2 linked regions of the Tribolium castaneum genome follow. The protein of the gene in region 1 interacts with the protein of each later gene in a pairwise test. Links are inferred from orthologs where the notes say so. Each region holds a gene or a part of one and is shown in the gene's direction. Other genes may lie near its edges.

The links.
Region 2: the proteins of Reps (region 1) and Rlip interact in binary tests that used the Homo sapiens proteins (3 or more experiments, as listed by UniProt). The link is inferred for Tribolium castaneum from reciprocal best matches to the Homo sapiens genes REPS1 and RALBP1.

The regions. Positions count from the first base shown.
Region 1 is NC_087399.1:2,782,404-2,787,018, forward strand, and holds Reps (ralBP1-associated Eps domain-containing protein 1), read left to right. Parts: upstream 1-1,686; 5' UTR 1,687-1,739; coding exon 1,740-1,889; intron 1,890-1,941; coding exon 1,942-2,356; intron 2,357-2,830; coding exon 2,831-4,086; 3' UTR 4,087-4,357; downstream 4,358-4,615. UniProt on the Homo sapiens protein: May coordinate the cellular actions of activated EGF receptors and Ral-GTPases.
Region 2 is NC_087403.1:3,536,160-3,540,297, reverse strand, and holds Rlip (ralA-binding protein 1), read left to right. Parts: upstream 1-1,498; 5' UTR 1,499-1,640; coding exon 1,641-1,728; intron 1,729-1,779; coding exon 1,780-1,909; intron 1,910-1,954; coding exon 1,955-2,163; intron 2,164-2,215; coding exon 2,216-2,477; intron 2,478-2,523; coding exon 2,524-2,701; intron 2,702-2,748; coding exon 2,749-3,462; 3' UTR 3,463-3,508; downstream 3,509-4,138. UniProt on the Homo sapiens protein: Multifunctional protein that functions as a downstream effector of RALA and RALB. As a GTPase-activating protein/GAP can inactivate CDC42 and RAC1 by stimulating their GTPase activity.

The DNA.
Region 1 (4,615 bases):
TGAAACTTATTTGTTTTTTTATTTAAAACAGTAAATCATTCATTATCATTAAAATTAAAATATCAAGCTTTATTGTGCTAAATGCATTCTTTTGAAAAAGTTTGTTTTATAAAAAAGTTTTATAAAGTTTAACTCGGTGAATCAGTTATTTCTTAAAAGCAATTTGAAAAAAAAAGTTTCCTTCGAGCCGGATTTGAACCAGCGACCTATGGATGTCCACTTTTAAGATCCTCTACAGTCCACCGCTCTACCAACTGAGCTATCGAAGGTTGATTTTACAGATGACTGTTGTTCTTCTACTAGTTGAAATATTGTTAAAACATTTGATTATTTGATTTTAAATTATCTTTTAATAAATAAAACTATATGAGTAAGCTAATATAATACGGCAGTCACAGGCATTAAATAGTATTACAACAGCAAAAACTTATCTTATCTGTTGCATTCACAAGCAATCAATAAAATTAATAAAATAATATTGTAAAAACATATTTTCGACCATTTGGTTTTATCGGATATAAATACTATTTCGGGAAAAATTAGTAAATATTGTAAAAATACACGACTAGAAAAAAGAAAAAAATTTGGCCGCCCGAGCAGGGACTTGAACCCTGGACCCTTGGATTAAAAGTCCAATGCTCTACCGACTGAGCTACCCGGGCTTGTACTTAACAAGCCCCCTCAGTCCTAGTCCTCCAAAATCTTTCCGCAACAACCACAAGTTATTAAAATTTTGAATTCAACAATAATTACCGAAAAGTGTTGAGTTTTTCCATAGCTTTACCCACCACCGTCTTCTTCAGCGGCGTCGGACTCGTCCCCGGCGTGCTATTAGCCGAATTGAGTTTTTCATCGGCCACAAGGGCCCTAGCCAGTTGCATGTCGCTCTCGTTCATATTTCTTACCGACACGACAAAATCACAAAACCAATTACCACTTACAGCACACCTAACATTTGTTAAGATCAAGGTAAATGAAAAATCATAATCGCAAGTACGGCCCTGACCTAAATGATAAATAAGCGCGCTTTTGTCTCGGTTAGGGTCAGGTTTCCTCTTAGGGTCACTTATTTTTGTTGTTCTGAAACCGTCCGCGAAGAACTTTCGACAAGAACTGACAGAACTTGCCTTTAACGAGTCGACTCTGGCATTTTTTCTTTTAAATTAAATCGACGACGGCAAATAAATTAATATAAAAATCTAGTCCATGCACCGCTCCGAGCGGTCGGGTTATGAAATTGACGGTGAAAAACGACTATTATTATCTCAGCGAGGTGTTTTCCTGCTGTAGGCCCGCGGGGACTGCAAAAAAAATATGCGCCCAAACAATTTTATTATAATGCAATTAAATTAAAAGAAAAATTGTGACAAAAAAACATAACACAGATGAATAAGAATTTCCACATAAGACCAAACATTATTATAAATAGTTTAGATTTTTGAACATTTGTTTTTGAAAATTCATAAATGTTAGGTCACTTTGGTCGCTAGTGTCGCTACTTTCTGGCACAGTTGGTACCGAGAACACAGGCAAAAATTTCCGAAATTGGAGCCATTTATTTAAGCAGTACATTTTTTACATAAATTTGTTATACACTGATGGTTGTAATCTGGTCTATTGTGTCTCTTATCTCTTCCTCATTATCTAAATACTTTTTTGGTGAATTATTTATGTTGGAGACATTCCCGAGTGATAAGGCGAAGGTTGGTCTACCTGCCTGGCTCCATCAGCTGTCAAAAATGGAGGAGTTACAGCTGTCAGAAACTTTACAACGATATTTTTCCGACGTTTTTCTTTGTTGTGACGAGGAAAAATCCGGGAGCGCCTCCTTGACCAAAACCGTCGAATTAATCAAGTCGGGCAACGTGCCCGAAGACATCATATCCCAAGTGAGTGGTTTTCTCACTCTCTAACCTCACATTCTGACATTTCTCCTGTCAGATTTCAGAGATCTGTTGGGGCCAAACCACGACCAGTTTGTCTAGGAAGCAATTTTTTTCCGCTTTGAAATTAGTCGCCGCCTATCAGGCCAACATGCCGTTAAATGCCGACGTAGTCACTTCCAATTTGGAGTTGCCTTTGCCCAGGTTTACTTGGAATAATTTGGAGAGTGATTCACAAGTTCCTGATTTAATCGAACTGAGAAACGATGCCAATTATGTTGAACAAGTCGATGCGAACAGCACCGACTCGGAAGTCGATAGTGATACGCTTAGTATAGTTAGGAATGGGTCGCCCGAAATTTCCAGCACCGCCTCTGATAGCCCCACGCCCACGAATAGTGTGCAGGACAGGAGCTGGGCCATCGGGGGGGCCTGGCAGGGGCTGGTCTCCGAAGAACAAAGACAGCTCTTGGGTGAGTCGTGGAATGAAATAATGAAGCATTGTTTCGTTAAAACAATAAATCAACGGATTTTTGTTTAGTAAACAGGCAGGTGTCGCCGAATTGACTAGCTATTGAGTTATTAATGCGTCGTGTGACGGCATTTGCATTCATCAATTCATTTTGAAATTGTTGACATTACGTTCACTTTTCCAAAAATGGTGGCTCTTAATAAATTTTGTTTAATTAATGTAGTGACGCTTGCGACATATTTCAACGCGTGGTACACATTATTTTTGGTCAATAAACAAACAATTCGGAAACATAATTAAAGAATTAACGACTCGGAAAGTCGTAAATTTGATTGCTTTTGAGTATGTTCTACATCCAGTGATACAAGTTGTTGTTTTATCAATTTTCATTTAATTCATTACGCAGATAATTGTGAGTTTTTTTCTACAAAGGTCTTACACTATTAGCAATATTTTTTTTATTTCCCTTGTTTAGGGACGGAGGAGGAGTCGAGCGATCGGCACAGCAGCGAGGAGGACACGGAAGTGAGCCCCGAGATCTGGACGATCAACCCCGAACAGCGCGACTACTACACGAAACAATTCCGCTCCCTCCAGCCCGACACCAACGCCTTACTCGCCGGTCCCGTCGCCCGCATGTTTTTCGAAAAATCGCGCCTTCCAGTCCACGAGCTCCGCAAAATCTGGCAGCTGGCCGACGTGACCAAAGACGGCGCCCTCAGCCTCCAGGAGTTCAACACTGCGATGCATCTAGTCGTCTTGCGCCGCAACCACATCGAACTCCCCGACGTCCTGCCGCCCACCCTCATCCCCGGCAACGAAACGCCCCTGTCCGTGAGCCCCGAGACCGAGCCCATGCTCTCCCCCCAAACGAAAGACACCGCCAAAGAGTGGACGAAATTCGTCGACAGCCCCACCAGCTCCGTTAGTTCCCCCGGCCCCAAACCCGTCAACTTCGATTTCCAGAAAATCACACTCGATAAAGACTCGAAAATCTTACACCCAGTCCCGCTTCGAATCACGCCAGAGTGCCCCATGGCGCCCCCGGGCGAAGACTCCGTCGACAATGCGGAAGCGCACAGTCCGAAGAAATTCACCGATAATAGCGCCATCCAGCGGCCGCAGCCGAAAAAAATCAGCATACCGGGCCCTGGGGCGATCCCTCCGCCCCCCACCACGCAAACGGGGGATGAAGGGCCGGTCAGTCTCCCGGTTTTTCCCCCGCCTAAGAAGGAAAAACCGCCCCCGCCTCCGCCCAGACCGTTCAAAAGCCACGGTCGGAGCTCGTCGCTTGATTTGAACCGGTTGAGCAAGTTGGGAGCCCCGCCCACGATCCCGCCCAGAGTCAGTCCCAATATCCAATCGAAGAAGCTGACCAATCAGAAGTCGGAAGGGGACGCCTTTGCCAACTTTGATAGTTTCGAGAAGTATGAAAATGTGGACGAGGGGATTTTTCCGGGTGATTTGTATGAAGCGGAGAGAAAGAAGATTTTTGCGAGGTTTACTGAATTGCCAAGAAAACACGGGGCGTTTGAGGTTTATCGAAAACCGGCCAAGAATCAAGAAGGCGGGCAAGACGAGAAAGCCAAGTGGGAGTTGTTTCAAATGTTGCAGGAGGAGAATACGGTGCTGTTGAGGATTTGTCAAGAGTTGAGTCAAGAACTGGCCGATATTCGGGAAGAGAAAATGACGCTAAAGTTGAGATTAGAAAAACAATTAAGTCTGGGATAGTTGAGATGAATCAAATGCTATTTAAGTTGAATCTCCAGGTATTATTAAGGCCGACAGTGCCATAAACTGCCTAAATTGTTCAATTATGTTTATCATTGAGTGAAAGAATATTTTTTTAATGACGTTATCAAATCATATTTGAAAGAATCTATATGTTGGTCAGATTTAGGTTGTTTATATTATATATGGCTCTATTGCAGCAAAGTCTTATATTTTTTCGTGTAGCTATAGGAAGACTGTATTTTAAGATTAAATAAATACTTTAAAATTATTAGGTTTTAAGGAAAATCGCATTTTCTGCATTACACTTTATTTCCGAATGATAAAAAATAACCTAATCCCTTAATACCACGGTTTCCTTGGTCTCTGAAGCAAGTTTCTTTCTTTTGCAAAAAATACACAAGACGCCATTTTAAAAAAGTTGACAGTTACCATTATTACATAATATGTCATCGCACAGGGAAATTAATAATTTTATCCAACAGACTGTCGATTCCTTTAAGTAAATATGTGATTTGTTATAATTTTT
Region 2 (4,138 bases), on another chromosome or scaffold:
CTGATGTTTGTATAAAAATGAATAACTGATGTATAAAAGTGTAAGTAGATTTGCGCAAGTGCCATTGCCTTAAAATAACTGACAGTTTCATATTTTTCTAGTAATTACAAGATGAAGCTATGCAACGCAATATTTTTTAAATGTCAGTGGAGACCGTATCGGTTCTATTATTATATAACGTGAATGATTTAGTCATAAAGTTTTGTGTGAGTTTGATGGTTACATTAATCAGTTGTATTGTAATGACTGCGCTATACTTTGTACATACATATGGGCTCACTCCACAATACTTTCATATATAAAATCTAAAAAATAGGCTGTTTCGTTTTCGCTTTAGTGTGTACCAATATATTAAGCATTATGTAGCTGGGCTACACGTATAACTGCTTAGCTGAGATTTCTTAAGGTTGGTTCATTAGAAAACAATACAATCAATGTACGTTTAGTTGAGCTAAGAATGTTTGCACTTTTCATTGAAAATGGCAATCATACGATGGTAAATTTTACTTATTTACTTAAGGTATGCATTTCCCCAAAAAAATTTAGTTGTAATGTTGTTTCAAGACTATAGATAAACGCCACTCGCCAACTCGTTGTTCTAATACCATTTAATGACACAACCACCGTTTCTTTTGTTATTATATTATTGTTTTTTTTTTGCGCGTAGCCTCGATCTAAAGTAGGGACTACTCTTTACGTTGTTACATTGCCGGATTTTCTTTCACTCCTCCCGTAGTAGGGACTACTTTTTACTTTGTTACGTTGCCGGATTTTCTTTCACTCCGCCCGTAGTAGGGACTACTTTTTACTTTGTTACGTTGCCGGATTTTCATTCACTTCTCCCGTAGTAGGGACTACTTTTTACTTTGTTACGTTGCCGGATTTTCTTTCACTCCTCTCGTTTGATCTAGCTTGAGGATATTTATAAGTTGTGTTAGGACCCCTTGACAACTGGTTTAGGGGCAAGACTAGACAAAGGTGTTGTTACTTGAAACTCTGTTTTTATTAATACGACTAAATCCCATTTGTTTTATATTGTTAACAGTTTTAGGTGTCAACTACTCTTGATATATTTTTATAATGACCTTCCCTTTGGTATGTTTATGAAAATGTAAATCATAGGACAGGCAAGGAGTTCTTTTGTATGTGTTTTCGTAATATTGTATTTAGAGTACTAATTCATCATTTTAAGATAGTTGAAAATCTGCTTTTCCGTCTCGCCTGCAACCAACCACGTGCAATCGACAATTGATTGCAGGCGAGACGAAAAAACACATAAATCTTGTGATAATTAAACGTTTTTTTTGCTCAACTCCTTGCAATTTATTACATAGTTAAGTTAGTTTGTAAAGTGTGTTGTGGAAGTGTGGTCAAAGATTTGTCTTCCTGTAACACGTAAAAAAAATTAAAAAAAATTACAAAACTAGCTCGTCTTTTATTTCGAATCTCCCGGTTAAGGCGGCCCTCAACACCAGTTCCTTCAAGAGATGGCAGGGCAAGCACCTGTCATATTACACCACTCAGATGACTTGATTTGTGTTGTTTCTGTTTTATCCCAGCTTAACATGCTTAGCAACAAATTCCCTTGGGAAAATAGTGTCATAATTATTTATTAAAAGTTCAAACCCAACCGTGTCAATATGGATTTTGATAGCCCCGACGTAATGAAGGATTTCCCAGGCTTGTACGCATCCGAATTAAATAAGCAGTGCAATAACGACAGCGACTGTAATAATAAATTAAGTGAACCACTAATTCCCGATTAAAACTCGTTTCTAGATAGTGACGAAAATGAGAAAGTCTTGAAAAAGGACATTCTCATCGGAAAACGCAAAGAGAAGAAGGATAAAGACAAAGGTTATGCCGCTTTAGAAGGCGAAAGTTCAGCTGATGAAAATTTCAAGTCGAGGTAATCACACCTGCAATCACTCAAACCCTCACTGGGATGTTTCAGAAGCCCGTCGAAAACAAAAAAAGCCAAACCGTTCAAATTCTCCACCAAAGCCAAAGAAAAACGGGACAAATCCCGCGAAAAAGAGAAAGATCTCGACAAGAAGAAAGACCGGGATAAGAAGAATGACAAGAAGCAGGACAAGGAGAAAGTCAAGAGTGAGAAAACGAAGAAACTCAAACAGTCAATTGACGAGACCGCTGACATCGGCGGTGAGAACTCTTACATAATGACAATAAAATTGGAATGAATTGTTCGTTCCAGATATTTTACCGATTTTCGGGGCTAGTTTAGACGTGGCTGTTGAGAGGAGCCGGTGCCATGACGGTGTAGACATTCCTTTACCCATTCGGGAATGTATAGACTATGTAGAAACCGTAGGTATGTCGTTCGAAGGCATATACAAAATCAGCGGAACAAAATCAAAAGTTCTCCAAATACGTAAAATGTACAATCAGAGGGGCAATATCAATTTAAATGACTACGACCCTCCAACCGTCACAAGTTTAGTAAAAACCTATTTAAGGTAACCTTTTCTTAGGTGTAACATGATGGGCAAAAACTCTTTGCAGAGATTTACCAGAACCACTTTTTACAAACGACCTTTTAATACGTTTCGAGGAAGCCGGAGCCATCCTTAATCTCAACACTCGCGAAAAACACTTAAAAATTTTAGTGGACCTTTTACCTCCCCACAACAAAACGCTCCTCGGCTGGCTCATCACCCATTTACACAACGTTTCTCTGAATGTGAGTGCCTTAACACCCCAGCCCCCATAGTATAGCGCGTTTCGCAGGAAAAATGCAACAAAATGAACAAACAAGCCATTTCCACAGCCCTCAACCACACCTTCCACTGCTCCTCGCGCCTCCTCCACGCCCTGCTCCACCACTGCCTCGCGCTCTTCCCCACAATCACAATCGCGCGCTACGTGCCCCCTCTCGAGTCCGGGGCCAAGCTCCCCGAGGAGCCCCCCGAGATCGAGACGGAGCTCAAGAAGCAGGAGTCGCTCCTCACCCAGATCCACAAGGAGATGAACGTCTGCTGCATCTCGAAGCAGCGCGAGGAGCTCCTCTGGGAGGTGCAGAGGATCATCACGCAGCTGAAGCGCAAGCTGAAAACGGCGAACCGCGACAAGGAAGCGGTCGAGAAGGTGGAAGCCCCCGAGCCCGAGGCGCAGCCCGAGGAGGCGGCCAGCGAGGAGGAGTCGGAGCTGGACGGCAGCGTCGCGCTGCTGAAGTTCAAGAACGAGGGGCTGCTGCTGCTCAGAGACTCGCTCCTGAAGGACATCCAGGCGGAGCGCGGCCAGATCGCCGTGCTGCGCTCGCAGATCACGGGGGAGGTGCCGCCCGTGGCGATGGTGCCCAACGAGGACCTGGACGAAGTCATGGACCTGTTCCTCAAGGAGAACCAAATTTTGCAAATCAAGAAGATCAACTTGGTCCGCCAGATCATCGAGGAGCAGGAGATGTGCATCGAGCTGAGAGCGCAGATTTTAGCCAAGTCGTAATGTGTCCAGTATTATTGTAACTGTATATAATAAATGTTCAAATTGACGCTGGGTTTAAATTTAGGTAGACTTGACATTGGAGTGGGCCTAAGGTTACGGTATGCAACTAGCAATGCGCCTGAACTAAGCCAACAGGCGGCGCTAGCACTACTTAAGTCGAGTATTTTTACATGTTTTTGTGCGTGTTGTTTTTATTTTTAGTGGGGAGTGAGTTCGTACTGTTTCATGTCCGATATTATTTTAGAATAGGAAGTGGTTGAAGGTGTTTAATTTTTTAATTGTTATTTGTTGGATTTTTACGACCGTCCCTTGTGATGTTTGCTGGCGTTTGGCAAAGTCAATAAATAAGATAAGGAGTTTCGTTAGTGTTTAGTGTGTATACATTGCTCATTTTATTATATTGTTATAAGTCACATTTTGAATCGAAGCCTCAAGGGACCATCTCGTGGTAAGTCTTCTGTGACCCAAAACCCCATTTATGACTCCCACGTCAATAACAATCATAATCAAGTTTGCTCAACTTTTGATTAAATTGTCGACTTTGTTTACACAGATGATTCCGTTTAACCCAGAAACTTCACCAACCCGGAATTTTAGCCCATTCGTCTTCGGCACCCTTTCTTTATCTTATTTATTGTACGAAATGTTTTTAAAAAGATTAGATTATAATAGTATG